3 linked regions of the Caenorhabditis elegans genome follow. The protein of the gene in region 1 interacts with the protein of each later gene in a pairwise test. Each region holds a gene or a part of one and is shown in the gene's direction. Other genes may lie near its edges. The genes, in order: jkk-1, H28G03.2 and grif-1.

Evidence for each region.
Region 2: the proteins of jkk-1 (region 1) and H28G03.2 interact in a two-hybrid assay, tested with the Caenorhabditis elegans proteins (one large-scale study listed by BioGRID).
Region 3: the proteins of jkk-1 (region 1) and grif-1 interact in a two-hybrid assay, tested with the Caenorhabditis elegans proteins (one large-scale study listed by BioGRID).

Annotation. Positions count from the first base shown.
Region 1 is NC_003284.9:5,364,744-5,372,419, forward strand, and holds the start of jkk-1 (Dual specificity mitogen-activated protein kinase kinase jkk-1), read left to right. Parts: upstream 1-3,724; 5' UTR 3,725-3,921; coding exon 3,922-3,955; intron 3,956-4,572; coding exon of another isoform or gene 4,573-4,592; intron 4,593-4,611; coding exon 4,612-4,719; intron 4,720-4,869; coding exon 4,870-4,950; intron 4,951-4,997; coding exon 4,998-5,108; intron 5,109-5,156; coding exon 5,157-5,269; intron 5,270-5,687; coding exon 5,688-5,804; intron 5,805-5,850; coding exon 5,851-6,006; intron 6,007-6,065; coding exon 6,066-6,230; intron 6,231-6,501; coding exon 6,502-6,663; intron 6,664-6,705; coding exon 6,706-6,798; intron 6,799-6,846; coding exon 6,847-6,906; intron 6,907-6,959; coding exon 6,960-7,067; 3' UTR 7,068-7,425; coding exon of another isoform or gene 7,426-7,539; 3' UTR 7,540-7,584; coding exon of another isoform or gene 7,585-7,676. Other genes in the region: F35C8.5 (Cholesterol 25-hydroxylase-like protein), read left to right, coding at 1,072-1,167, 1,214-1,301, 1,355-1,632, 2,302-2,391, 2,438-2,542, 2,585-2,830; F35C8.8 (uncharacterized protein), read right to left, coding at 4,573-4,592, 7,426-7,539, 7,585-7,676. UniProt on the Caenorhabditis elegans protein: Dual specificity protein kinase which acts as an essential component of the JNK signal transduction pathway. May phosphorylate jnk-1.
Region 2 is NC_003284.9:5,201,796-5,209,471, forward strand, and holds the start of H28G03.2 (WW domain-binding protein 11), read left to right. Parts: upstream 1-4,024; 5' UTR 4,025-4,028; coding exon 4,029-4,385; intron 4,386-4,724; coding exon 4,725-4,823; intron 4,824-4,874; coding exon 4,875-4,930; intron 4,931-7,676. Other genes in the region: pqn-62 (SAP domain-containing protein), read left to right, coding at 1-138, 253-505, 565-669, 720-857, 912-1,674, 1,725-1,825, 1,872-1,997.
Region 3 is NC_003279.8:1,974,301-1,981,976, forward strand, and holds the start of grif-1 (RING-type domain-containing protein), read left to right. Parts: upstream 1-3,729; 5' UTR 3,730-3,751; coding exon 3,752-3,830; intron 3,831-4,219; coding exon 4,220-4,368; intron 4,369-5,158; coding exon 5,159-5,298; intron 5,299-7,065; coding exon 7,066-7,516; intron 7,517-7,676.

The DNA of each region.
Region 1 (7,676 bases):
AAGTAATAACATATCCGGGTCACCTGAAAGTGTATAAAAAATGTTGGACTAGAAAGAAATGTACATCAAACATTAAAAAATTCAATATCCAGGTCACAATATACTATAGTTCATTTTTCATCTTTCTAGCCAAAAAAAAACTTAATCTTTAGAACTGAGGCTTAATTTTTAAGCTGCGTTTTAAGAAATATGCTTTCAGGCTACTGTTTTCAAGCTGCCTTTTTAGGCTCAGTGATGATAAATATTTTCAGGTTTAGATCTTCAGGCTTAGTTTTTAGGCTTGATTTATATTCTGAGGTTATCAGGTTTAGGTTTTCAAATACGTTTTTCGAAACATTCAACATTTATAAACATTGACTCCACGTGAAAAGTTTCATGAAGTATCAAAAATGAAAAAGAAAAAACCTTCGTAAAACTATGAACATAAAGAAAAAAATTTGAAAAGTGATTGAAAAAAAATTACACTGCTCAAAACACACATTTCAAACATTTTGTTCTGTACCTGTACATCATTTTTTGAAAGCGATGTAACCACTGTGTTTTGTAAAGTTCTTGTTCATTATAATTCACACGTGTTTAAAATAATTTTTTAGTTATCAGAATGACATTACAAGTGGTGATGATAACTGATTAGTAGTAGACATACCGGTTATTTTGCACGCGGTTTTACTCGTTCAATCTTTTGAAGGTTATACAAATCTAACACCTTTCAAAGAAAATGACATACATACTTATTTTTATGGGTGTTTATAAATTTATACTGTTTTCATGTATTTTAGGAAATAAATAATTTTAACGAGCTTTTTTCAAAATTGTATGTCTTATGTCCATGAATGGTAATTATAATTGTAGTCTAGTAGTTATTTTTGTTGAAATTTAAATACTTTGCTTTCAGTACTTTTCCATCATCATACGTCTCTCAATTGGCTTCTACTTGCTCTCTTATCATTAACCATTTTTATGATAACCAGACGCATAGTTTCATTTTCTCAGACCATATTTATTTTTCAATTTATTTGTTTCTTTTTGTATTCTGTTGAATTTTGAGCTACAATTGTGTGGTATTTTTAGATGTTAGACCTATACCCTGTTCAAAATTTAACAGTTGATCAGTTGGAATACGAGAAGAATACACGATTTCTTCAACCGGCATGGGATTGGATCAAAGTTAGTTTCACCTAACCTTTTTTTGTAAATCATGATTCGATTCCAGAATGGAAATGAACACATTTTAAGCTCGCCGCTTTTCCCGCCGTTCTATGCGCTCTCAATCGATTACACTTGGGTAGCCGTTTTCACATGTAAGCACGTACCACGGGTTGATAACATTGAATTAAACTACAAAATGTTTCAGTTATTGACGTGTTTCTGTGCAACGTTCCATTTTTCAAAGATGCAAAAATCCAAAAAGATCGAAAAGTGACCTGGGATTTGATAAAGAAGTCACTGAAGCTTCAAGGATGGAATCAGCTCCTGTGGATTTACCCGATGGCACTTGTCCAGTTAATTTGGGTACCTGATACAGAGCTTCCTATCCTGGCACCAACAGTTTTTGAAATGCTTTCACAGCTGGCTATATTTTTCCTGGCCTTTGATTTCACATATTTCTGGTTCCATTATATCAATCACAAGGTAATTGATAACAAACAACGGTTGCATGTGTGAAGTATGATTGGAGTAGTCATAAAACACGGTTTTTAATAACTTGTAAATCGAGTTACATTGAAACTAATTAGACCATGTTTCACAATATAATTCAAAACCTTCTCTGAATGTATATAATCGGGAACTCACCAGCTACAAATAATTTTTTGTTGTGCAAAGCTCGCCAATTTTCCACCAGGTTTACATTCGTTTAGGCAAAAGTTTCCAAAACGTTGCACATTCCGAGTACTAATTCATATTGCGGAACCTGTCATTTTGTCGAAACGTCCTGATAGGAACTTTTTGATTGTTGCAAACGTTTCAGTGTTTATTTTTACGATTCCTATTATTTGGTTATCCATGTATGCAAAGAGGTTTATTAAAATGTATATTTTGACGTCACATAATGCATTTTAGTTTATGCTATGACGTCATAATTTACATCAATGTTGATTTCTTCATTAGCAGCTTTTCTCTCACTTGAAATTAAGATTCGAAATAATTTTTTACCAACGTTAAGCACGTTTCAGTTTGAATTTCATAAAGCTATTACATATTTTTCAGCGATTCAAAAATTATATTATCAGTGGAATGAATCACTGATAGTCATAATTGTCCTATACACAAATCATGGTAATATCACTCAACATTTTGCAGGTAAAATGGCTCTACCGCTGGTGTCACTCTGTTCATCATATGTACTCATCCCCATTCGCAGCATCTGCACAACATCTTCACCCATTTGAGGTTTTTGAAAATTGAGATTTATAACTAAAATAGTAAGTTTTTTCAGCTGTTCTTTGTTGGAACATTCATCACCACTATCCCATGGATCTTCCCAACTCACTGCTTGACCTACTGGATTTGGTTCTTTATCGCCCAGAGCGTCTCTTATGAGGTATTAAAATTTGACCTTTAAAGTTGACAAAGTTGAATTCAGGTTCACATTGGATACGACTTCCCATTTGCTCTTCATCGCATTTTCTGGTTCTACTCGGGTGCTCCGGCTCATGACATGCACCATCTGAGACCACTGACATGTTTCCAACCGTGGTTCAACTATCTCGACAGACTCATGGGTTACCATATTACCTACGCCGATTTGAAAAAGATGACCGAGGCAAAATTCAAAAAGTTCGGGCTCTATTCAGCTGAAGACGAGAAAGGATTAATCAAAATTAACTAAGCCACGTACATGTATTACCCCGTAACGCAATAAACGAACTTTTTTTGCTGTTGAAATGTGCATGAGTGAGCAAGACTTTTTCGGAACTTTGTGTTTGCTCCCAGACAGACCGGAAAATGTGAAAGTAACTGAATCAGAAGAAATGTGGTATTGAAACGTGAGATCTTGCAAAAGGAACTAAGAACACGAGACTTGACCAAAAGTTCAAAAGGTTGCTTGAAATGTAAATAATTTTAAATCTGAAATATCCCCCACCAAAAGGGTTAACCTGTCCAAATTGTGGTAAATCTATTTTTTTTAATTGAATTTTGTTTTCATAGTCAAACAATCGTAATTCTGAAACGTGGCCAAAAATGTCTACAAGTTTTAAAACAAGCAACTGTGACTCAAACATTTGTTCGGAGTATTATTTTTAACCAGGTGAATCGTTTCTATTTGGAACCTCGAATCGTCTTCAACAGAACATGCTTCACCCAATTTTCTCGCTGATGAGATTTGTGCAGAGGCGCATGTCTGTGTGTCATCGTGTAACTTCTATTTGCCGGCACAAAGAAGATGAGCAACAAAAAGACCTCCTCCAAACTTGCCCCCATTCAAATCGCCCATTAGCGTTTAGCCTTTCTCTCTTATAGGACCACCCATTGAAGCTGCAAAGATTCACGCATCCCAAACGCGTCGAAATAGAGGATGATGGGGGGACCAATTGGAAATGAGACATGCGCGAGAAGAGAGAAAGAGCCGAAGAAAGGAGCAGTTCTTCCCGCATATTTTCACTAGTATGTGTGTGCATTTATAGCCTTCCCCCTTCTCCTTCTTCACGGCTCCTCCTCCACGATGTGGGTGATGAGAGCGAAGAGGGGCCAGACCGGGAGCCCCTGCGCTTCTTCGACTAGCATTGTGCATTCAGAATCGATAGCTGTGTGTGTCTTGCCATTTCGTCTACTACATTGGGCTAGTGGTGCTGCTGCTGCTGTCGCTGCCGCGAGGAACCTCACATACGTCTTCTTATTAAAATTTCGGAACGAGCGACGACGGCCAACGGGTCATTCTTTCATTCTTTTATTTTGTTGTCAACTCTACCTTGGTTTTAAATGGAGAATGTCTGTTTTCAGCAAAGATTACGAGGTAAACATATAATTTTTCATATATTTGTTTATTGTCGGCTGAGTACGTAGCAAAATATTCGTAGATTATGTATATTCCGTTTAGAATCTTTGATGAAAATTTAATGAACTGCAAAACAGGTCAACCAAGTTGCTGATTGCCAGAAAGTAGCCTTAGGTTCGGAAATCATCGGTTGTCGGCTGCCGAAAGTTTTATCGTTCGCCAACTTCGGCAACTTTCGATATTAATTTCAATTGTTTTGTAAATACGCATTCAAAGACCCTAAATATTGCGAATATCGTCACTGTAAATAAAACAATTATATTTTTTCCTCGAAAAACACTCTGAAATATGAGTTTAACAGAAATATATGTTTGAACAACGCCAAGGCCTCGGCAGCCGACGGTTGCCGGTTGCTGAAAATTTCAGCGATTGGCAAATTCGGTAACCGCTCATTGACTGATACCCAGATGATGCTGATGCAATTAATTTTCAACCTGTAACCTAAATTTTAGTGAAACAAGGTAGCCAACGAACTTATACCTCTTGATAAGAAAAGTACTTGGCTTCTCGGGCAATAGGTACCACAAAAACTACTAAAAATAACCAAAGTGTCAATCAGCGCCAAACACACAATCTCATTTCCTCCGTGTTGAGTCTGTAATAATTGATTTTAGATCTGGAGACGAGGGTGAGAAAATGGAAATTCTTGAAGTTGGGATTGACTGAGGTTCGGCTACGGCCGAGAGATCGCCGATCAACTTCGGTAGATCAAAAACATAAAGGTTTGTCTTGAAATATTGGTGTCTAGCCTTCAAATGGCATCATTATTCTTAAAATTCCATCTAATTATTCTTTGTGATGAGATCATCGGCTCAATTCCAAAAAACACGTATGTGTTGTCATTCTTAATTCCCTCAAATTTTGTTTTACAGAATGCTCTTCCACATCTTCAAGTCCTCAACACCAACGGCCGAATAACATTGGGTATTTAACAAGCCCCATGGAAAGAAAATGTGTGCCTGGAGAACGACCTTTAGTTATTACATACATACAATTTCAGTTACTCCGCTTTCCATGAAACCATCGCCATCCAGAAGAGATACTGAGAAAGATGCGTTGGAATACGAGTTTCTAGAAGGGTACAAGAAATCGGGAACATTAGAAATTGATGGTAAGACATACATCAAAGCTTTAATTTTTAAAATCTTTTTCCTATCAGGAGAAAAGCAAGTTGTCGACCCAAACGAGATTCACATCATCAGCCTGCTCGGAAGCGGCTCTTGTGGTGTAGTCGAATCTGCGACGGTTCGCTCAAAATTGATGGCTGTGAAGGTGAGCATTACCCCTCACACGGAGGCAGTGATGTATGGTTGAGATACACATCCGGACCACTTTGAATAGAATAAATCTTGCATGGCTCCAGTATGAACTCTTGAAAAAAGATTGACAGAATCGTTGCATACGCAATTCAAAAGAGAAGGGGTCCTTCACGGGTTATCATGCGGGGGCGAAAAATTGTAGTGGTGCTAAAGACCATTAGAAATTCCATTGTTTTCGTTTTTCTTGATTCAATTGTCAATGCAAAGCAAATGCGTTAGAGAGGAGGAGAGACCTCTAAAATTGGTGGAAAACAAATTTCAGTAAAAATTCTGAACCTCTTTCAATGTGAGAACAGTAGTTTGATAAATGCGACTCTAGAGAATACGTTGACACAGAATCATAACGGTTCCCTCAGCTTTGTCTTCTTCAGACTATGTACAAAAATGACAATAAGGAAAATTTGAAACGAATTCTTCGTGACGTCCGAATTATGTCAATGTGCAATTCTCCGTTCATTGTCACCAGTTACGGATATTTCATGTTTGATGTAAGTGTGACATTCTTATTAACATATCCAATTCCTCCATTTCCAGTCGTCTGTAAAAATTTGTATGCAAATCATGTCAGCGTGTTGTGAGAAGCTGCTGCGTCGCATTTATCATTCAAAATTGGATTTTTTCCCCGAGTTTGTGGCCGGTCACATCGTCTACTCGGCGATTAGTGCACTGGATTATCTCAAGGAAAAACATGTAAGAGATTAAAGAGAAACTGCTGTGCACAAACTAAACAACTAATTCCGGATTTTCAGTCGATTATACATCGCGATATAAAACCCTCGAATATCCTTTTTGATGACAGCGGCAATGTAAAGCTGTGTGATTTTGGGATAAGTGGATTTATGACTGATTCGATGGCTCATTCCAAAAGTGCAGGATGTCCGCCATATATGGCTCCTGAAAGATTAACTATCGAGGTATGAAATTGAATGTTGATCTGTGAACAAAAATGTGCCGGTGGCGGTGACGCCCTCCACGCGCCCGATTTTTCCCGCAACTTGCCCCGGTTCCCTGCTACTAGTTTCGGCTTGATCATGCTTGACATGTCAAAAAAAAAATTTTGAACTTTTTTTTTTGAAACATAATCTTGACCCGAAATGTGGGTCACGTCCCGATCGCAACAGTGAGCCGCGGGGCACTCCTGTTAATAGGTCTAAAAGTAAATAATGAAGTTTGAAAAAATTGCAGACGAATTCCAAATACGACGTTCGAAGCGATGTCTGGTCATTGGGAATCACTGTTTACCAACTTGTCACTGGACTCTACCCATTTCCACTAAATGACATGGAATTCACAACTCTCACCATTATTGCAAACCTGAATTTGCCATCACCAAGTCTGAGAGAAGAGGTTTCGGAATTTCCGTTACGTTTTCAATACGCTATGTTTCAGACAAAGCGAAGTTTTTCACCTCTATTCATTGAATTCTTGGACCTATGCTTGCGAAAGGATGTTCGAGAAAGACCTGAATATAGGCAATTAATGGTAAAATAATAGGTTGGAGAAATTTTTAAAACAAAGGTTTTTCTACAGAAGCATGATTTCTACCTTGATTACGACCCTGCCAGTGGAAGTGCTTACAAGTTCAAAGCTGTAAGTGTTTTTTTTTGCAAATTTTTCAGTACAAAAACTGACTGTAATTTCAGATCAATGGAAAATGCAATCAAGTTGCGGATTGGTTCGTCGACGTGATTCGACTTTCAAAAACCGAAGATGAATTGAAGTCGATCCCAAACACGCCTTGTGTCAACTAATTATTGAAGACTTTTAAGCAAATTATCACTTTCGTGTTCTCTCAGAAATTCTCATTCTTTTAAAATTGAAACGAGTCTGATATCATCACTGGTGCTCTTCTCTGCATAATATTTGTTTCTCGGTTGCTTCCAGTTCACTTTTTGAAGAAATTCTAGGTATGATTTAAAAAGAAATACTGGGTTTTTTAAACGAACAAACTAAAAATCTGTCCAAATGGACGAATATCGTAATAAAAGTTCTCAAAAAAATGTAAATTGTTTTAATGGCTGTTCTATTTTGCGAAGCATTGGTAGTTTAACGCATATCATTTTGCAAAATAAGGACCATTTAAAGTTTTCTAAGAAAGCAATAACCTACCGATTCTTGTCCACAAAATCCTTCGATCATCGGGGAAGCTCCTAGAATCTGGTTCAATTTTTGAGGAGGCTGCAAGCTTGTCAACTGGGCTTGCAACTGGGCTCCGGGATATTTCTGAAATTTGAAGTTTAAATTAAAATTTCATTTAGGACAACTTACTGATAATCCGTTTTTTTTTTAATTTTCTGTTCTTGTTTCTGTTCTGTTTCTGCTGCTCCTCACTTTCCGCTTTCCGACGACGTTCGTGGTGC
Region 2 (7,676 bases), 160 kb from region 1:
CCAGGCTGGACCATCCCCAAGTATGCCTGTCAGCGATCCTATTGCAACCACTTCCGGTAGCCCTGTTGTTGTTAGCGCTGTAGCGGAAAGCACAAGCGAGTCTGCAGAATTGATGGATCTCGAAACAATGCAAAATTTGTGAGTATTGCTCGAACGCCCACCGAACAGTTGTTCAAGTTATTTTTGATCCCTCTTGACATTCCTCACTCATTTCCCCAGACACAATTGTTTATCGTCAGTCTGGAATTGCAGGTTGTCACCTGCGACATTACGTGCTCGAGAAGATCTTCTTACTCAACAACAAGCCAAGATTAATGAGCTGGTCAAATTGATTCAGAAAAACCATGACACATTGCGTGAACAGCAACAGCAAATTAATTTGGCTAAAAAACAACAGAAACAGAGACAGCGACAAAATGTTCCTTCAGCACCGTTGGATAAGCACGTGAATAGTAGATGTATTCAACATGCTATAAAAAGCCGCCAAAACTTTCAGATGATTAATGTGAGTGGCCACTAACATCTCATATTTGTGCTCAATATTAAACAAGTTATATTTTACAGGAGCTCACTACTCAACAAGATAGTATTCGTACTGCTGAAACACGTCTCATTGAGCAGTTACACATCAACACCGCTACAGATGATATTGCTCGTTTGATCAAACAGGTTTGCATAGTTTAAGTTTTCCCGAGTTATCTTATCAATTTCAATTGCAGGATGGCAGAACAGCTCTCGTTATTGTTTCTTTGCTACATGACTATCGTACGACTCGAGAGCAGAACAACCGTGCCAAATCAACGACTGGCGAGCAGCCTGTTGTAGCTGATAGCACAGCAGTGGAGGTTACAAAAAAGGTAATATAACGTGACTATCTTTGCTTTTTTTTTAAACTCTGTGCATTTTTTCAGAAAGCTCCAGCCAGAAAAAGGAATGCCAATGGAACAACAAAAACAGCACCGAGCAAAAAGACTGCGCAGCAGAAACAGGCTGTTGATAACGATGTGATTCAGATTATCTCTTCAACGAATGAACAAAAAATCCCAGTTGAACAATCTCAGCAACAAAATCAACAGCAAAATTCGCAAAAACAATTCCTCGAGTTCCACCATCCTCACGTGCCACAAAGAGTTAGCTCGCAATCTGATGTCGACATGGAAGCAATCTTCAAAACTGTCATTGATGCTTCACGCAGTCAACAAAAAGAAAGTCAGACTAAACAGCAACAGCAGCCTCAACAACAGCAATATGATAATGAAGTGATCTCGCTTCCATCTGAAGTATCTTCTCCAATGCGCACACAAAGCCAAAACAGCGTACAATCAGTGTTTTCTGATGGCTCTTACAGCAGAAATATGGCATTCCAACAGGAAAACTCGCCACAGGAAATAACATATTCTATGAGCAATGGTGCTGAATCTAATACTTCTCAGCAAAATGAGTCACCTCTTCAAAACTCCCAACATTCAGAGGTTGTAAGCAAACAGTCCGATATTGTGGAAATTCTACCACAGTTTGATCAAAATGTGATGAACCATGACGTGAATCAATTCCATAGCAACATGATTTATAATGAAGATTCGAATCAAGAATTTATTGCTCAAAACAGTCAAACGCATGATCTTGATTTCGACTTCCCAGACATTGATCAAATGGTCGCTAATATTCGAGATTGTAAGTTACTCCAAAAATGTTTCAGCCTCTCAACAGTGTATACTTTTTAGCCGATCCTCTGAGCTGCCCACTAGACGATATTGATTTGACTGCAATTTTGAATAGCTGGACCGAGACTTCCGATCCAAAACAGCAGCATACATCTGCTGATGTAAGTCATTATTTCAAAAAGGCAACATTAAATATGTATAATTTAGATGAACATGTGTGATGACTTGGTGTATGATGGATCACAAATGATCAATCAGGATATGAACTGGAATGACTATGACCCTCAATCAAACATTATTAATCAAGCATTTGAGCAATCCCAAATCAATTGATTTTCTAACCAATTAATTCTTTGTTAATTATTACCTTATTTAAATATTCCAAAGCCAATCATTTTTAATTTTTTTACATTTTAATCCTTGCGTTAGAATTTGATAGCTCTTTAACTAGTTTTAATAATAATTCCTCCTTGCATTTCCAAACCTGTAAAAACTTTCCAAAAAAGAAAACTTTCCCAAAAAATTTGTTCCAGTCTATAAAAATATTCCTTCTTCCACGATTCCCAAATTTATTCCGGTTTTTCTTATGTTCCATAGCTCAATAGTGTTCATGCTCTTCTTGCAACTAGATTACTTTCTACCGTGCAAAATAGTTTTGTTCAGTATATTCCACATTCCTATCAATTCCATCCCAAAACATTCAATATCTACTACTATTTCTTTCCATTAACTTGAAACCATTTTGTCCATCTGGTCGTGAAAAACAAAAATAAACACCTGTCATTTGCATATGAAGTTTTGTGAAGCGGAAATCCATCAAGTGTCGGCGAGAAGTCGAGATAATTGAGAGTAAGGGGAAAATGGATGTAAGAGCACGGACGATTAGAAGCGAGTTTATGCTTTTCCTGCACACATTTACTAACATCATTTGGCAGGATGTGAAGATGTGGTAGTTCAACGCTATAAACAGATAAAAGGTGTAGAGAAAATTTGGATTGTCTTCAGCTTTTCAGAAGTACGCTATAAAAAATGTCCTCAATAATTGGTTGGAAACATGGAAAATTGAAAAACGTTTAAAAACAAAATTAAAATAGCGTAAATACCGTCCAAAACGGTCCCAAAATTGAAACTTCATGAAATTCAGGTATATATTGTGTTCACAAAGTTATGCTTCAACGGCATTATAGGAACCAAATAAGAACAATTGAGCAATCAAATTACAAAATAAAAATTGTTGAATTTGAACAGGTTTTTCTTAATCCCGGCAATCAGTGAATGAAATTTGTTAGTATTTCTACTTTGATTTCGTTTTTTAAGCTTTTTTGACTATCTTGTTGCACAATAACTACACAAAAAATAGGTTCGGGATTTAAAAAATGTTTTCTAAGAGTTGAAATAAAACTGAATCAAGAATGAATCTGCACGTTCTGAATCAAATTTCGCTTCCAGAGAAAATAAATAAAACAACTTTTCGAAGCGTGTGAAAATTTTTAATCATGATTTAGAACATTTGAAAATTATTTAAACATGTATAATTGCTTTTTAACATTTTAGAAAAATGAATTTAATTATCATTATAATTTTTTCAAAGAGAAGTCACTCATAATTTATATTTTTCTCGGGGTGGTACACGGACCAATATATTTTTGATTTTTTTTACCGACCGAACTGTATACAATATTTAATACGTAAGTTAAAAAACTGGCAATATTTGCAATACTTTTTCAGTTAAAATGCGAAAAACGTTTAAAAATGGATCCCCCTATCACCTAAAAATATGTTTTTTAAGTTAATTTATGGGACTGAGGTGTATGTCCCGGATAGTAACGATTTGCTCATCATTAATTCATGTTTTTTTTTGAATTTATAATGTTTTAGTGCCATTTGTGGAAAAAAATCCTTTTTGAATAGCATACAACAATACTTGCTTTAAAAACTAATCGACAAAAAAATAGATTTGCGTTTCAGCGATTTAGTTATTTGATCAAAAAACAAAAAGAAACATCAAAAACTATGAATTATAAATTTCCTTGAAAACAAAATTAACAGTGTAAAGATAACTAAACGGAAATTTATTTGCTTTTTAACGATAATGAAAACAAAGTAAAACTTTTCATTCCCTTCTTCTATATTTTTCATTAATTTGGTGCATCTCCATCTGCATCTCTATAAAAACACGTAGCCACCAATATTCTGCAAAAGAGTGACGACATATCGCCTCCCCAATCTACAGGCACAGCAACATAGCGTGTGTCTGTAAGAGACGGCGAGAGAGCGAGCGGCCGTGGCCTAGCGTTTGCACTCAATTCCGCGGAGTCCGCGAGAGCGCTCATTTCTTATACAGTCCTCATTCTGTGTGCAACAATGCAACGTGACAACGTCATCGACTCTGCCGGCAACCCTCCTGTTGAAAACCCGGATATCGATTTGCAAGACGGCGAAATTGGAGAAGAGAGTTTCGAGGCAACGCAAGCATATTTGCAAGATATGGAAAATTCCGCTGAAGCGATTGCTCTGGAACGTCAGAGAGCTGAAGAAGCAGTTATGGCAACAATGGATGAGGATGACGATGGGCTCAATGAGTTTGGACGGCCAAGAAATCCGCCAAGAACACCACCAGAGCCAGCTCCAGAAGGCCAACCAACTTGTGAGTCTATTGGTTTTGTTAATGAAGAGTTCGACGATGTCTCGGATGATGGCGAGATTCCTGGAAGAAAACGAGTAAGTTATCATGCTTTTAAAATTTTTTCTTGCAAAAAATTCGTCGGTTTTCCTGCGAATAATATAATTACAAATTAATAAATTTAGTAAATTTTAAAATATTAAAAAAAAATGTCTTCGCAGATGGGCAAATAGCATTTGCCCAGTGAAAAAAAAATCGATAATTCGGCAATGTGTTGCCGTAGAAATATGGGTTTATACGAATGAAAATGTGCATCCAATTCTACTTCGCTTTTGCAAAAAAAGGAAAGCAAAATTATCATTTTCGAAATGGCAAAATTATTAAAAACACATGCCCAAATCATATTTTCCGCACAAAATAAGAAAATTGTTTTCCAGATTGGACCAAAAACCCCACCAGAAGAGCCGGAATCTCCAAAACAAATCGAGCAAACTCGCGAGCAAGGAAGCGATGGAGAATTGACTGGAGACGATATGGTATGGAATTTATTGTTAAAAATTTTTAACAAGTATCACTCAAATTTACAGGAGCCGATTCCAATTATCGAACCAAAACTGAACAAGGAAAGCAAACGTGAAAAACGGTGAGTACTAAGTCCTGTGATACAACTCTGTTCATGAGTCTGGAATTCTGAATGTTCTGTAATACCGTATGTCCTCTATTGGTTTTGCACCCCTTCGCTCAACTTTGACAGCTCATATCTCATTTTGTTATGAACATATAAATAATTAACAAACAACATACTATAGAAAAACATCTAACAAATATTTTATCAGTTGACAACTTTTCTATAAAACAAACGACTACTGAGATATGAGCTGCCAAAGTTGAGCAAAGGGGTGCAAAACTAATAGAGGATATACGGCACTTGAAATATATACATTTGTTGATTTAATTAGGAAACATGTTGAAAGCACCTTGTAAACTATACATTACAATGCGCTCTACCGAGCCACCTTGACTGATATCTTTAGATATAAAGTTTTCTGCAGAACGTTTATGAAAGAGCTACTTTTATTATTTTATAAGGAGTTTTAAGTAGCAGTCACGTTAGCTGACGTTTAGAGTCACGTTTAGAACCATAGTGAGTTTTTTTTTCCGTGATTCGTTTTAAAAGAACATTGATGTTTTCTTAGAAAAATATTTCGGCTCAATTTACTATTCTTGTTCGGTTAACACTGAACACTAACTATTTTGGTTCCGGCGTGAGCAAAACAAGCCAACTACCACAAGACGGAAAAAATCACAAATTTAACTTCAAAACATTGTTCACTTTGCATTCTAAGGAAAACTGAAGACAGTTGATTTTGTTAAGCAAAGTTGACAGGTTTAGAACAACTTTACTTTCACTTATCAAGTTTTACAAACACCATTGTTAAACTGTTGCAATATTCTTGAAAAAATTGAAAAAAAAAATCCCCTGATGTTTACAACATTCTTTCCGTTTAAATTTTGTAATTCTCTGCGACTTAACAACGTTTGAACGTAGGGTACATTACTTTTTGAAGCGAACAATACCCATTCAAAAACCCCCATTCCAATAGTCATAACAAGGTCCAGTTGTTAACTCTGTCATTTTTATCGCATTGCGAATAGTGGCAGGTATAGGCGATACTCATTCTAGTTTGCAATAATGCGAAAAGACTTACAGTTTCGCAGATTTATAAACATATTTTCAAAGAACATTTTTAATTTGATAGCACGTAGGAAAACGTAGGAAACAACAATACATCGTTTGTAAATGATTTGTGCTTTGATTTTTGCTGATTTGATTTTTTCTTCACCGATAAAACAACATACTATCAAAGAATGAATTCGATGTTTCTTCTTATCGGCTTCTTCTTCTTCTTCTTCTGTGCTAACCTAACTCTGGTTTTTTTTTACCTTTTTGTTTCTTGGTTTCTATCCGTTTGTTCTATTCTCAATTCCCCACAGTGTCAACATGTTTACTCTAGTTATCTAGTTATATTTTCCACCTACGATGCGTTGGCTCAGCGGCAGGGAGAGAATATATATTTTTTCCTTCTCTATCTAGCGTCTGGAGAAAACTTCTTCCCCACCCTCCGATACATAAATTATAGGCGGGGTGTCGAAGAAGGAGGGTCCACAAATGTGTAGTTTTCTCGATTATTGTCTAACATCCCATGCCACCCGTGGGTAGAGGGAGGCCTCCTTCCCCACTCTCTCCTTTTGGCAAGTTTTTGCGTTTCGGCCGAAATTTTTGAAGCAATGCGTTACTTTGCATACCCGTGAATATATTAGTTGGTTGTTTCTTTTGACAGGCCCCGCCATACTACCTCTCTCGCCAAAACGAAGGGCAATTCAGCAGCTCATCTCGGCACACCTCGGACAGCAGGTGCGGTTTGGCGGCGGCGGTGGAAGATCGAGTTTCAAGGCGAATGATGGGACCCCACGAGTTCATCCGAAGCCATCATCTTTTGAGTATTTGGTTGCTGCCTGTTGCGCCTGCTTGCCCTTTAGATGTGTCGGACTCTTGTCACTCGATATTTTGTTATTTAGGACCCTCGGATATATTCGTTTCATTTCTCGTCTTTTTCTCTTCTTCTTATTCATTTTCTCAACTTCTTATCGCTCGTTTTCTGTGTTGCGGAAACATTTCCAACGTAATTCTTTCGTGACGCAAAACCAAAAGTTCAGTGACCTCCGCATAGTTTTCACCAGGAATTGTATTTCTGTAGTGCATTGTTCAAATTATTAAAATTCAGTGGGTGATTAGAGGAAAGCATTTGGGCTCACATTTCCGAAAATACCCCACTTTTAAGTTTTAACAAAAGTTGAAATCAAACCGAGAACAAACTACCGTGCTACAAGTTTTCTTATCAAGTGAGATGAGTGCAATCGGGCAATGTGGACAAGATCGATGGTGACCTTCATCAAGAATAATGTGTTTTCATTACTTTTTGAAACACTAACTTCACTTGATCTCTGTAGTGCCGGGAATATTTTTTTTTCTCTAAGTGTTGTTTTTCTCATCTACTACAAAAATTTGTCAATTCGTGTTGCTCTTAAAGAAAAAAAAAGAAAAAGCAAAACAAAATAGAAAGAGACAAAGAGAATAGCATGGCAAAATAAAGACGCCCAAAAAATGTGGACCCTTTTCTAGTAGCTTGAAATTCTGGCTGGATCGCTTCTGGAAGAATTCGAAGACATTTACGGAGAAGAAATCAGGAAAAAAAAACTAGAAAAGATGGGCGACTCGCCACTTAACGACCCCCAAAAAATGGATATCTTCTATTTGTTAATATTCTAGTTTTGATATGTTTTGGCACGCTACAAACACGTAACCGGCGGCTCCAAAACATTTGCCA
Region 3 (7,676 bases), on another chromosome or scaffold:
CAAAGTTTTCTTCTTATTTTTTGCTTGTTAAAAATTTTTCGGATTTTTTCGAAATTCAACATTTTGGAGCCTGAAAAATTAAAATTTGAGTTTTTTTTTTGCCATTTTGTGGGCGTGGGCTGTGAAACTGTCGTGGTTTTGTCGATTGACTTTTTTCCCTGGCAAGCTTAGGCCTAAGTTTAAGCCTAAGCCTAAGCAAAGGCCTGAGCCTGAGCCTAAGCCTAAGCTTAAGCCTAGGCCTAAGCCTAAGTCTAAGCTTAAGCCTGAGCTTAAGTCAAAATTTGAGATTAAGCCTAAGCCTAAGCCTAGCTTTTAACATAAGCCGAAGCCTAATCCTGAGCCTAAGCGCTTAACCTAAGCCTAAGCCTAAATCAAAAATTGAGATTAAGCCTAAGCCTAAGCCTAAGCACTTAACCTAAGCTTAAGCCTGATTATAAGCCTAAGCCTAGCACTTAAATTAAGCCTAAGTCTATGCCTAACACTAGGCCTAAGGCTAAGCCTACGCCTTAGCCTTAGCTTAAGCCTGAGCCTGAGCCTAAGCCTAAGCCTTAGCATAAGCCTAAGCGTAAGCCTTAGCCTAAGCGCTAAGCCTAAGACTAAGACTAGCACCTAAATTAAGCCTAAGCCTAAGCACTTAACCTAAGCCTTAGCCTAAGCCAAGCCTAAGCCTAAACTTGAGCCTAAGCCTAAGACTAAGCCTAGCACCTAGCCTAAGATTAAGCCTAATCCTAAGCCTATCACTTAACATAAGCCTAAGCCTAAACTTGAGCCTATGCTTAAGCCGAAGTTTGAGATTAACCTTAAGCCTAAGCCTAACTCTTAAAAAGTTACAAGAAGGTTTTTCCTTGCGCTTGGAGCGCAAAAGAAAAGAAAAAGAGCTATTTAGACTTAGGGTGCCCAACTGGAATAAAACATTGGAAATCCCAATCCAACCAGCCTAAGGGCCCGAAAAACATACTAGGATGCCCAACTGGAATAAAATATTGGAAATCCTTATGACACACCGGCGGTATGGCGCGGCTTAAGCCTAAATAGCCACTTTTTATCAAAATACATTTGAGCGAGGCGGTTGTAAACTATTCGTTCTTTAGCAAAAATAAAAAAAAAACTTTATTTAAATTTAAAAATAAATATCATATGTTATCACACCTTAGAATATCACGCCTTAATTTAGTAATCATTTTTAGTTCATAAGTGTGAGAGAAAGAAAAATGGATTAATCATCGGAATTAGATATCATCAGAGTGATTATATTCATCAAAGGTCCCACTTTACTGGAGATTTAATTTGGTTGATATAAAATTCCTATCTCATGTAAAGAAAGGTTCGAATTCTGTACCTATGAATACTGCCGATATTTGAATTCCTGTCTCATGGGAAGAAGGCCTTTCTTGTGGGAAGAACGGAGTTATAAAAAAATATACGCAGGTACAGAATTTGAACTTTTCCTCCCATGAGATAGGAATTTGAATATTGGCATTCTATAACTTCACTAAGAAAAAAAATCTCCAAAGGTTGATCGCAAATATGTAGAGATTGCTCGCATCCCTTCAAATATTACAAAATTTCCAAGTTTCTCAGTAATCTATAGTTTTCATTTAGATTACTGAAAAATATACACAGATTACTTTTGAGTCTGAGAAGTTATTGTAAAACGCAAAGCGAGCTCAAATGTATTTTGATAAAAGTGGCTATTTAGGCTTAAGCCGCGCCATACCGCCGGTGTGTCATAAGGATTTCCAATATTTTATTCCAGTTGGGCATCCTAGTTTTTTTTCCGGGCCCTTAGGCTTAAGTGTGTCATAAGGATTTCCTATATTTTATTCCAGTTGGGCATCCCAAGTCTAAATAGCTCTTTTTCTTTTCTTTTGCGCTCCAAGCGCAAGGAAAAACCTTCTTGTAACTTTTTAAGAGGGTTTCATATATTTTATTAAAATCGGGGCGAAGCCCTGATTTTAAATCCATATTGTTTTTTTTTGTCTTCCTCTATCCCTGCAAATAGGAAAGATAATGTGTTCTTTCTGATGAAGTAAAAATCATCATAAAATCTTGAAAACTGAGAGCAGGAGGTAATATTTGAATATATTGGGTCGTAAATGTGTGTCTCTCTGTGGGTGGGGTGGCGATGTGTTGGCAGCCCTTCAACGAACTGTATCTCCCGCCTGTATCTCCCTTCAAAGAGAGAATTGGGTTACAAAAATTTGAGGGGATATGAAAAAAGGTGTGAGAATTTCAAAAATATTATTGTTGAAACACCAGACCAAACCACTTTTTCTGGGCAAGAGGCAAAAAATTAATTTTTTGAAAAAATTTCAAACTGGCACAAAATTTTTTCAAAAATAAATTTTTCACAAATTGTTAGTAGATTTCATTTTTCATAAATATTGTTCATTGAACACAAAAAAGAAAACAAAGATTCATCAAAAAATGAGTGAAAAATCGCAAAAATTCGAAAAAATCAGTGCTGAAAAACTCGATTTTTTGGCGGTGCTGAAAAAAATTTTCACTAAAATTTTTTTGAAACTTAGTTTTTCGGATTTAGCGTCAAATTTTGAATCTATATAAAAAAACAAAATTGAAATTGATCTCAGATTGAGTGAATAATAAACGCTCAAAGTTGAAAAATGAACAACGCAAAAACGGCAGTAACTTGCTTCAAGGTCGGTTATCTCAGTGAGTTTTCACTCAATTTTCGAAATTTGTTTGCTCTATCGCTTTAGAAATATTTGTAATTTCATTTGTTTTCCTCAAAATCAAAATATCTCAAACGACCGCCATCCTACGAGAAGGGAAAAAAAAAGTTTTTGGAAAAAAAATCAAAAATTTTTTTTCTGCCTCGATTTTCAAAATGAAAAAATCACTTTTTCGGAATAATTTTTACTTTAAAATGTACCTACGATCTTTTTATACAACAATTTCACCTTGGAACCAAAGATTTTTGGAGGATACTCGAAAATACTCTTCATATCTCGGCTCAAAGAGCTCCAATCTTTCTGAAATAAAGCATACAGAGGTGGGGCAAGCTTCTTGAAGAGAGAGCAAAAAACCGCATCAAAATCCATCCACCCACCGTCAAGTTACACGCGCGTTTTCAGAGTGAACGAAAAACAGGGCATAAAAAAATTTAGACGCCCGCACCCGGACTCGAACTTTTTTCAGATTTACAAGCTTAATATCTCGGCTCCTGTAAATCGAAATTGGCTCAAAATTCTCAAGAAACCTTATCCTGCGTCCTTCCTGCTGTCATTAAATTTTCGTGAGCTTAGGGAGAAAACTGACAAAACGCCAAACTTTCAAATTTAAAAAAATAGTTGAGGGTCATTTTGTAAACACCTTAAGCTCCATAACTCGGCGAGTTTTGATGGAATCAATTTGAAATTTTACACGGAAGCTTCTTAGTGGCTTATACGTCTCTGTGTTAAATTTCGCTTTGATCGGCCAACGGGAACCCTTTGAAAAATGAAAAAAACGCTGTAATCCTAACCCTAAATGGCGAGCTAACGCTCGCCACTGACGCCAAGCCTAGGCCTAATCTCAATTTTAACTGTAAAAATAACAAAATTCCCTATTTTTCTGTCAAAATCGAATTTATCTAGGCTCGCAAATTTTTGATCTACCATCTCAGATGTTGATCTACTATCTACTTTTCGGCGCCAAATTTCCAATTTTGGGTGCAGAGACTCTGTTTCTTTGAGTTTTCCGTTCGATTTCCGCTCATTCCGTCTCCTATTCCTGTTCTCTGTGGACAAAAATGTACAGTTTCAAAAGCAGCACCGACGTGAAGACTTATATCAGCACCCCGTCGTGCCGGATATGTCTTGAGCCATTTGGTTAGTGAGTTTTTGTTGGCTTAACGGCTTTTTTCGTCAGTGTTTGGCTATTTTCTTGCAAATTTTTAGGTGTTTTATCGATTTTCACATTTTTAAATACTTAAAAAGCTTGATATTTGAGCGAAAAATCAAGAAAATTAAATTGCGAAATTTTTTAAATTTTTTAAATACCAACGACACTCCGATCTTACACCCGTGCGCGTTGTTTAGCGTAAATTTACAAAGCGAATTTTCAGTTGGTTTTCTCGAATTTTAATTGAAAATCTTGAAAATTAGTGAATTTTTCAGCGTTTTTATGGATTTTTCCCTTAGAATACAGGTTTCTTAACCGAAAACACAATTTTCCTCCAATTTTTTCATAAACATCTTTGAAAAAATCAATATTCCAGACGAAGGACAACATCTTCCGAAAATCCTGCAATGTGCCCACACGGTCTGCGAGAGATGCATCGGTTTGCTCGACGAGCAGAGCCGAATCAACCACAATCGGCCGCCGATCGACCGCTCGTTTGTGCACATTAGATGTCCAGTTTGCAGGGTATGTGTTATCAATTAATTAAAGGTGGACTCCGCTCAGTGCGGAAATTGCTTTAAAACACGCCTATGGGGTCACAATGACCGAATATCTTGATTTAAAAAATTCAAAAAAATTTTCTAGATTTTATATGATCTTTTGAAAATTGAAAAAATCTCAGTTTTTGCCTAATTCCTATTTGAATTTCCGCCAATTGGATTTTTTCGGTGGGGCGCACTTGCACGTTTAAAAATTTTTTTTTTTATTTATTCTTATTTTTCACCGATTTTTAATGTTTTCGGTGTATTTTTGCTTGAATTTTAGAGAAAAAGCCAAAATAAATGCAGATTTTCGATTAAAAAACACGATTACAGGCGTAAAAATGAGAAAGTAACGCTTTTAAACGATTTCGAACCTGAATTAATTAATTTCACTGATTTACGCCTGTCAGTGTGCTTTTTAATCGAAAATTTGCATTTATTTTGACTTTTTCTCTAAAATTCGAGCAAAAATACACCGAAAACATTAAAAATCGGTGGAAAATAAGAATAAATAAAATAATTAAATTTTAAAACGTGCAAGTGCCCCAACGAACAAATCCAATTGGCGGAAATTCAAATAGGAATTATGCAAAAACTGAGATTTTTTCAATTTTCAAAAAATCATATAAAATCAGGAAAATTTATTTGAATTTTTTAATCATGATATTCGGTCATTATGACCCCATAGACGTGTTTTAAAGCAATTTCTCCACTGGCGCTACTCCACCTTGAAGATTAAAATAAAATTTTTAATGAATTTTGCTGAATTTCAGGCAGTCACCCAGACTCCACGCAACTACATTCGATCCAACTACCAGCTAATCGAATTGATGGATTCGATGCGTGGAGAAGCCGATCATAATATTTCATTCCTCGCGTGTGTCGGCTGTAATGGCGTTTATCACGAGAAAGAGTGCGTTGGAAACTCACGGCCTCACGGCTCACGCGGCACCTCACGAACTCCAGAATTTGCGGGAATTTGTTTAGCGCGGGACAGCAGTTTTTTGTTATTTTTGGCTTCTACGGAAATTATTTTTGATTTTTTGATCTATAATATTCTTGAGAAGCATCCTTCGAATTGAAAATGTGAAAAATTATGAAATTTGAGCGAAAACTGAAGGTTTTACAGTAAGGAGTTCTATACTTTTCTTTAAAAATGCATCAATACCGCCAGTTTTTTGATTTCAGAGTCGTAAAGTATGCCATTTTGTAGAGAAAAGTCTGTTTCACAAAAATCCATGTTTGAAAATTGAAAATTGTTTTTATTAAAACCTGAAAAATCAAAAAAAAAAAAAAGATTTTAATGTAAAATTGTTGATTTTTTGAATATTTTTATATTATAAATTGAATAATCAGAATTTCAAACATGGATTTTTGTGAAACAGACTTTTCTCTACAAAATGACATACTTTACTTACTTACTTAGGATACTTAGTCGATCCGTTCTTCGCCTGCGGCGCGGATCACAGCTTTCCAAGCTTTTCGGTCCTTTGCTTGGGTGGACCATAGTTGTTTGACTTGCCCGAAGGCGTCTCGCGTAGTGACTTCTTTTCTTAAAGAGTCATTCCATCTCATCGGTGGGCGTCCAACGGGTCGTTTCTCGTCTCGGGGGCACCAATCGTTCATCAGAGTTGTCCATCGGCCATCCGTTCGTCTCGCCACGTGTCCAGCCCATCCAAGTTTCCTCTTTTTTATGTGTATTAGTGGATCTCTGAGTTTTGACTTTTCTCGAACTTCTTCGCGATGAATGTTTCGTTCGCGTTGTTCTGTCAAGGTGAGTCCAACTAACTTTCGTTCGAGGGCTGCATGGGTTACTCTGACTCTTTCCACTAGCTCTTTTGTGAAAGTCCAAGCTTCAGAGCCGTAGGTCAGGGCTGGGAGAACCGTAGAGTCGAAGAGATTTGCACGGAGGCGTGGGCAGGTGATCTGGTCCGTGGTGCTTTTGATGTTGGTAAAAGCTGCCCACGCAGCTCTTCGTCTTCTGTGAAGCTCAAGCTTTTTTGATTTTTTGATCTATAATATTCTTGAGAAGCATCCTCCGAATTGAAAATGTGTAAAATTATGAAATTTGAGCGAAAACTGAAGGTTTTACAGTAAGGAGTTCTACACTTTTCTTTAAAAATGTATCAGTACCGTCAGTTTTTCGATTTCAGAGTCGTATGTCATTTTGTAGAGAAAAGTCTGTTTCACAAAAATCCATGTTTGAAATTTTGAAATTGTTTTTATTAAAACCTGGAAAATCGAAAAAAAGAAAAAAGATTTTAATGTAAAATTGTTGATTTTTTGAATATTTTTATATTATAAATTGAATAATCAGAATTTCAAACATGGATTTTTGTGAAACAGACTTTTCTCTACAAAATGACATACTTTACGACTCTGAAATCAAAAAACTGGCGGTATTGATGCATTTTTAAAGAAAAGTGTAGAACTCCTTTCTGTAAAACCTCCAGTTTTCGGTCAAATTTCATAATTTTATACATTTTCAATTCGGATAATGCTTCTCAAGAATATTATAAATCAAAAAATCAAAAAAAATTTTCATAGAAGCCAAAAATAGCAAAAAAACTGCTGTCCCCGCGCGAAACGAATTCCCGCAAATTCTGGAGTTCGTGAGGTGCCGCGCGCGAGCCGTGAAACTGTGAAAATTCAGATTTTAATTAATTTCCCCAATTTTCAGCACCAATATTTGCACTACATGCTCCCCAATCATCAAGGATGCTCATCCCACTGAACTCATCGAGCAAGGAGTAATTCTGAATCAGTACGCGTTGTGTTCGACGTGTCTCCTCAGAGATCACATCAAAAAGAACCACGTGTCGATCAGTCTGCAGCCTCTTCGCGTCGAAATGCAACGCCAGGAGAATCAGCGGCGGATAGTCGGCTTGCAGGACAATTTGCACAAAGTGCAACGCGATTTTCGTGAGCAGCTTAACGCGACTATGGAGCGATGGGCCGGATGGAATGGGAGCCACGATTTGTCGATGGATAAATTCCGTGAGCTTGGTGATACGTACAATCAGAAGAAGGTTTATGATGCGTTCGTGCATCAGCTGAGAGGCAAGACCGCTAAGATTGAGAAGCTCGCCGAGCACGTTTTGCGATGGAATGATGAGCTGGACAGGGAGATGGTGCGTTGAAGATCGGGGCCGCTTTTTCAATTTTTTTGAAAATACAAAAACTAAACTTTTTATTCCGAAAATTTAAATTCTGAAATTTCGAAAACCTTTAAAGGTGGTGTAGTCGAATTTTTTTATTATTTTTTTAAAATTTTATTAGACTCAAAATTGT